Linked DNA regions of Xenopus tropicalis. The protein of the gene in region 2 interacts with the protein of the main gene of each other region in a pairwise test. Links are inferred from orthologs where the notes say so. Each region holds a gene or a part of one and is shown on either strand. Other genes may lie near its edges.

Region 1 (3,656 bases), on a different chromosome or scaffold from region 2:
GACGCTGGCGTATGTTCAGAATTGGCGAGCAAGATCATAGGGTTGATATGACTGCCATAGAACCATATAAAAAAGTTATTAGCCATGGAGGTAAGAAGAGGTACTTACATGTAATCTTCTGCTCACAATAAAACCATGCACTCATTTTATATTATTATTATTTAAATAGTAATTTCAGTATTACCTTTGCGGCAATGCACTGAGAAACATGTGTGATTTTAGTGTGAGGGCTACACTTTGGATCTATACAAAGTATGTAATGAGATCTCTAATGCATAATCATTGCTGGTAGTTAGTGCAATGGCAAATAAATAGCACGCTCTGCCTCCTGGGAAGGAGGTGGATCGCAAAATAGCAGCACAAGCTTCAAATTGATATTAGGTTAAAAAAAAAGGAGACTAACTATATAAATTACCACTTTTTTTACTTTACATCATTGACCTGTGAGTGCAGTTTTATATGATTAGAAGATGTTGTATTATTTGATAGATAGATAGATAGATAGATAGATAGAAAAGCCCAGAATACTCTGTTAATTATATCTTTATAAATTGTACCTAGTAATGGGATCAATTATAATGACTTATAAAGGACAATGAAAGGTTAATATAAATTAAAAGTAAGTCTAAAGGCATTCTTTTTAAGTACTTACTGCATATCCAAATTCCCAGATCCCTGCTTGCTTCTCTGAGATATGGTGCTGGCAGCCTACAGCCTACAGCCAGCGGCAGCCTTCCCATTCTCTGAGCATGTGTGTAACTTGATCCTGTCTCCTGTTCTGAGCTACACATGCCCACCAGCCAATCAGAAGTGGATCTGGCAGAGGGGAGGGGGGGAGGGAATGAAACACGTGCAGTATGAAGCAAGGAGGGAAAGGAAGGGAGAATACCTTTTTAGAGATGGCTGCCTGTTCTAGAAAATGTGAAGTAAGTGTGACTGAGTAAATATTTGATTAGGTGAGCCAAAAGTGTGGTGTTTTTACTAAACAATAGGAGGACTATTGGGCAGTATGCTTTTTAAATTTTGACTTGCATTCTCCTTTAATGTCAAAGTGTTGTATTTTCACTTGACTCATTGAAACTTGTGTATTATAATAAATAATGCACCCCTTGTGCTAAAATATGCGTATATTAGAAGTCACCTCAAAGTTCCATGACCTGTATAAGAGCATTTCAGCCTTGTGCTATATGGTCATGGAAAAATAAGGGGGTACATTATTCAATATATAATCCACAAATGTGGTCTGCTCCCTCTGTAGTTATGCCTCTGCACAAACATATTTTATTACACAAATGAAAAGATCTAGAAAATGAAAAACCTGTGTTTCTCTTCCACTGACTTATTATAATTATTTTCATTAAAGGTTATTATGGAGATGGATTAAATGCAATTATAGTGTTTGCTGTGTGCTTTATGCCTGATAGTGGTCAACCTAATTATCGCTACCTAATGGACAATCTATTTAAGTGAGTATTGCATTCTGTATTTATTATCTATATCAGTACGATTGTATATAAAGAATTATATACTAAATACTTTATATTTCACTAGCCATGTGTAGCCTGTAGAATATGTCCTTGGAAACTGTTTAGTGATGTTGTTAGTTATTGGTGCTGCTCTTTGGTGTCAGTTGTGTTACTTGAAGCACCTGGGCTCTACTAACACTGAACAGCTGTTGCTTTTCATTAGTCCAATGTTGGTAAAAAAAAATAAAAAAGCCAGTGTCATAAAAACAAATATACCCCTCATTTAAATTATATGCATATTAGAAGGCACCTCAAAGTTCCATAGGGCATGCAAAGCACTCGGCCTGCAGCATCTTGTCTTTGAAGCCCCTCAGTAACATTGAATATACTTATATTAAGTAAGGGGGTCATAATTTACCACACAGATTAGAAACAGAAGGTGATTAATGAAGTCTTGGTCCTTTTGTGTAATACTGCCCACGTGTGGTTGTCCAAACTGCACATATTGGGCAGAATGATGAGACCACTAAGAAATGGTGGCCCCATCTTGTTCCTGGTGACCCCATAAATGGCATTGGGGCTCATATTAGCAGACCAAAATTTTGTATTCTTATTTTTTTGTAATCATCTCTATTGCAGCCACATTGCTTTGCAGCTGTTAGACTAACTTGGTTGTGGATCCACACAGAGAATTTGGTGCTTGGTAGTTTGTGACCAACTTTATTCCTTTTTGCTACGCTTCATTCATTCTGTTCCCCATTTTATTTAGGTGATTGTTAGTACTATGCAACCAGCTTTTTACCCCTTTTTTTTTTGCTGTGTCTTTTTGATTTTGTTCCCAGTTTTGTATTTTTATTTTTCAATAATAATAAGTATCTCTGCTTATTCATCAGGTATGTTATTGGCACTTTGGAAATGTTAGTTGCAGAAAACTACATGATAGTTTATTTAAATGGAGCCACAACGCGGAGGAAAATGCCTAGCCTAGGATGGCTTAGGAAATGCTATCAACAAATTGATAGGAGGTATGTCTAAAGCATCAAATAAATTGGGGGCTACAGTTACAGATGTAAGTTGAATTATGTATTTGAATGCTAATGCATTCAGGTCAATCTGTTGTTAGGGAAGCACAGAAACCAGAATACAGTTTGGAATTCACAGAATCCCAGAAGTTTTTTTTAAAGATTAGGATTTGCCTAAAGCCTGAGCAATCAAGTATGTGACTTAACTGCACTGAACAAAGATGCACAAATGTGCACTCTACTGGTCAACGGTTATATATATTTTTCAATTTTGCTAGACTTATTTTCATGTGGCCTAATCAAATGCTTGTCTTTCTTTATAAAAGGTTACGGAAAAATCTCAAGTCTTTGATCATAGTACACCCTTCCTGGTTTATCAGAACACTTCTAGCTATCACAAAGCCCTTCATTAGGTAATAGAAATGAAATCTGATCTTCTATATTTAATTATTATATTACTACAGTAGCTACCATAATAACCATTGTTGTTTTATTTTGTTTTTAGCTCAAAATTCAGCCAGAAAATTAAATATGTCTTTAGCTTGGTTGAATTAGCAGAACTTATTCCTATGGAGTACGTCAGCATACCGGAATGCATAAAAGAGTATGTAATGTTCTTTGTTTATTTCATTTGTCATTGTGTAGTTAGAAACTTAGTTTGAGACAGTTATATGATAATATATGGTTTAATATTAGAAAGGCAAACAGCTCTGTGCTACATTGATTGCTATAAGTGTGATATTTCTTTTCCTGCTGCCAAATTGCCTTTAACATAAATAATTGGGTACAAGGAATAACCAAGATTCTAATTGTTTGTCCTATAAAACATATTTGATTACTTGTTTTTAACCATTACTGTATGGTTTATAAACTGCAATATCAAATAATACTGATATTAGGAAGTTTTGTCACTAAATTATATGCAAATCTTTAAGGCAATGTGCACAAAATGTATAATGGATACCGAAGGACACAATAAAAAGGAATTACTAAGAATTTAGAAAATAAAGTAAAGTTCAAAGAGATATAATTTGCTCATATACATTGCAATTTACTATTGACATATATCTATACTGATTGTGTATAAATATCCCCTTATCATTGTTTAATTCAAAATTGTTTAGTTTAGCATTTCTATGCAATTTTTTGCATATAGGTGCCTCCATAA
Region 2 (4,115 bases):
AACTCCCCTGCAGGAGCCTCCGCCGCCCACCCAATGTCCTCCCCTGAGCACACATAAGTGAAACGCAACAGGGATCGGGTCTGGCCCAGATCTGCTGAATTTTAGGTATTTGGCCGACCTAGGCACCGGACCTAAATATGCCCCTACGTCGTACGTGTGACGTCACACACACCAACGTAGTGGAAGTGACATCACATGCAGTGTGCCATCACTCCCACAGTGCATCCTGAACCCCCCCAGTTCCCCCACTGGATTTCCAGCGCTATCCATTAGAACTGCTTTCAGGTAACCTATTGTTTTTCCTACTCCCATGTAACTGGAAGAGTCCCAAGCCGGACTTGGATTTCTTACTATTGAACTCTGTTCTCATATCTACTGGGAGCTGCTATCTTGCTGCCTTCACATTGTTCTGCTGATCAGCTGCTGGGGGGCGGGGGTGGGTTGATATAATTCCAACTTGCAGCACATCAGTAAAGTGTGACTTAAGTTTATCAGCGCAGAGCACAGGTCGCAAGGCTGTTGCACCCTGGGAAATGAAGAATATGGCTAGCCCCATGTGAAATTTCAAAATTAGTTTAATGCAGGACTCTGCTGGGGAAGCTCTATTAACTGTTAAACATGTTTTCCCACAACAGTATTCCATTACGGGACTGGTTATACTTTGTGAGCATGGGGCTGTAGAGGTGGGTTTTAGCCAGATTTTTGGAGCCCCCATATCTGTGCAACAGTGAAAGGTGTACACAGTGTGTGTATGTTACTGTATATAAGCACAACTTTTTAGTGAACCATTAAAATGTATGTATACTATAGTGATTAGACTCTAGCATGGAATGCTTTATTCAAGGTCTGCGTTGCATAATTCTCTTCTACCGAATTACATCCAGATCTCCGGCCAAGTCCTGCCCTTTAGCCACTGATCGATAAGCAGATACCTGAGTCACGGTTAGAACATTCCAACTATGTAAGCACTGAAAACAAATTAGTAATCTCGGAGATACTGGTAAATATAATTTACTACCCCTGTTTCTCTAATGTTGCTAGCATTAGATTAAGGGGAGCCCAGGTCACCGCAAATATCTGACAGCTTCCAATACTCCCTTGCGCGCTGCTCCTTTAAGGACTGACGCATTACATCATGACTCGGCGCAGTGCATTGTGGGCGGGGAGGGGAGAACGCCATTTTCATTGGGGCGCAGACAGAGGCGGATACCGGGCACCGACAGCAGGAGGAGGATGAGCGCTGGATCACCGGCTGTTAGCTAGGAAGGCCTGGGATTCCCGGCCTGCGTCACTGTGACAGCTGGGTGCGGCTCCCAGACATCCTCTCGATTCCATCATCATCTTCATTATTTCTGGGAGGGCAGCTGCGGGCGGCACTGACAGGGACCGCAGAACGGTATGGGGACTGGCTATGCGGGATAGGGGCTTCCGGCGACTCGCTGTCTGTCAATGGGGAGACAATATCCTATTACTGTTTCGCAATGGCGAGAGTTGTAGTTCACATAGTACTAGATTTCTGTCTGCTTCATAGGGAGGAGGCAGGAAGAGGGCATCGCTAGGGCATATGCTGTTGTATCATTGATGCTCGGGGTGGAAGGGGGTAGGCGCTGTATTTGGTGCAGTGAGAGGAGAGCAGCCAGGGGGCTCCCACTGATTGGATACGCTCCTATAGGAAATAGACATCGTGTCTCCGTAAGTGATGCTTCTATCATCCTTTGTATGGTCCTAGGTAAGAGCCATGTTCTTCTCATCAAAGCACAGGCTAGCAAGCAAGAGACAGCAAGGGGTGGAGCATGCATGTAAACAATATGGAAGGAGCTCTTAATATATTATATATCTATACTGCATGACTCAAGTATTCCTCCATCCAGGCACAGGCTCCTGCCATTTATACAGCTGTGGCAACTGGGCACTTGTGTCTTTGCTTTTTCATTATCACTTTGCTGTTCCAGGCATGGTGTTATATATGGTGAGGGCAGGTCATATAAATAGAAAAACAAAAAATACTTTAATATGAAAGATTTAAATAAGTAAATAACCTTGGAACTTCATCAAAATGAAAAGCCACGTGATTTCTGGGATGAAAGGGAATGCTGCAATCCCTCCTGACTCCAGATCTGCTCAGAGCTGATGGCACCATGTGAACCAATTCATTTGATTTATGTAGTCATTAATGGAGCAGACTTGGTTGTGAATTGCCACTCTGACCACATAAGGCATAAAAGGCCCTTAATGCAAATGCAGTTGGCAGTTATAGAACAAGGCACCATAACGGATGGGAAATAGATAATTCACAGACATGACTCGGTTTCATTTGCAAAGATTTTAGTGAGAGCAAAGGGCTGTTTGAAATCAATACACATTATTTGTTTCATTTCGATCCTGTTTTAGAGAAAGGGCTTGTGAAATATATATTCTAGTAAGTCGTGGCTAAAAATGATTTGCAGAACAAAAGAATCATACACTTTTTAGTGTCTTACTACTTGTGAGGTATATGTGAATTGCGCAAATCAATACTATTGGTGATAGTTTAGCAAAGGGTATCAATGTAAGGCTCTGCCTATATGGATATGTAATGTACTAATCAATATTGTAATGAAAATTTCCTCTATGTGATGCAGTGATGTGTGCAGTGTTTGACAGTTTGTATCCTACCCCCCCCATGGGAATTAAGCTGTGTCAGTGCGATTACTCAGTCACTCTTTAGCACCTGCCTCATCTGGTGGAGCTGCTTTCTTTATTTTCCTGTATCCGTCAGAGCAATTAGCAGGGGCATTGTTAGCTTGAAGCCAAGATCATATATTTATTATGTGTTTTGTAAAGTTTCAGAATGGTTTATTGGTCTTATTTGTTTTGCGTTTGCTGGATCTGTCTTGATTTATATGATTTTGTATACCTTTCAACATGACAAGTTACAATGTTGCCGTTGTGCTTCCTTGTAACCACCTCGTGAAATTTGAAGACTTTGCAGAATAATATTGATGTAACAGTTTCAAATGTACAGTTAGCTTGCTAGAGAGAAAATCAATCTAGCCATGCTTCATTGCAGAGTCTCTTTGTGCCACTAAATCTGGGTATGTTCCTTAGCCATCTGACACACCCTGCCAGTCCTCCAGCTAGAATGCATCAGGACCCTGTACTTCTGTGTCACACACAGTAACGGTGTTAAAAGCAGGCTTGGCTTTTTCTAGGTGTCCCTTCTATGTACTTAGTGTTCTGACACTGCTTACAATGTGATAATTGTGGCAAGCCTGTAAGGGTATGCTTATTGGTTCTCCTCAGCAACACTCACAAGACTGGGATGCTAGAATCTTTGCTGTGACTGATATGCGAAATCCCATTTACTTTTTTTTATTCAAATAAGTAGACTGCATATTATCATATAAGGGTGTGTCTTGCTGCTTTAGGTTGTAATAATATGATTTAATTTATGTTACTCACTGTACCTTTCATATATATTTTAGGAGTAATTGAAAATCTTTCTGCCTACACTGTAATATATTTTTTGGATTAACTGCAACAATGTCTCTGTGCTCTCTCAGTTCTGCAGAAAAGGCACTGTAGTCATCAACACTATATCGTAATAACCATAGGACATTGGAATATGTTTTATAATCCTGCCTTTTTTGGATGTCCCTGATGAAATGCATTGGGTTTTTCATGTAAATAATACATTTGAACATACTATATTGGATTGCCCTGCATTTCTCCTGCTTTATAACCTGCTGTATGAAAAGAGAGCAGATGTTCCTCTTGGAGATCTTTGCATCCAGTATAATTAAGTATATTCACTAGTTAGTTCCCATGGGCTGCTTCTTAAGTTGTGCTTGAGAAAAACTGCAGTACAATCCCATTGTGTGTGTATTGAGAAAGGTGTCACACCCTTTAAAGAGCATACCTTTTGGTGCAAACAATGTAGATTTCACAGGAAACGCCTTGTAGGATATTTTAGTGGCAAGTCTTCTGACAACATCTTTATCATCTATCTAGCATGTCAAAATAAGGAAACAAAACTTTTACTGAAAAGCTAAAATAGGGAGCATACACACTTGCATTATGGGCATACTCGTACTGAATCCCTTTGGAACTGCAAATCTCAGCTTGCATTTGACATG

Evidence for each region. The genes of interacting proteins can lie anywhere in the genome.
Region 1: the proteins of klc1 (region 2) and bnip2 interact in binary tests that used the Homo sapiens proteins (3 or more experiments, as listed by UniProt). The two-hybrid records come from large-scale screens. The link is inferred for Xenopus tropicalis from reciprocal best matches to the Homo sapiens genes KLC1 and BNIP2.

What each region holds. Positions count from the first base shown.
Region 1 is NC_030679.2:96,408,788-96,412,443, forward strand, and holds part of bnip2 (BCL2/adenovirus E1B 19 kDa protein-interacting protein 2), read left to right. Parts: coding exon 1-90; intron 91-1,363; coding exon 1,364-1,466; intron 1,467-2,359; coding exon 2,360-2,491; intron 2,492-2,814; coding exon 2,815-2,901; intron 2,902-2,993; coding exon 2,994-3,092; intron 3,093-3,656.
Region 2 is NC_030684.2:98,511,949-98,516,063, forward strand, and holds the start of klc1 (kinesin light chain 1), read left to right. Parts: upstream 1-1,238; 5' UTR 1,239-1,396; intron 1,397-1,669; exon of another isoform or gene 1,670-1,692; intron 1,693-4,115. UniProt on the Homo sapiens protein: Kinesin is a microtubule-associated force-producing protein that may play a role in organelle transport. The light chain may function in coupling of cargo to the heavy chain or in the modulation of its ATPase activity.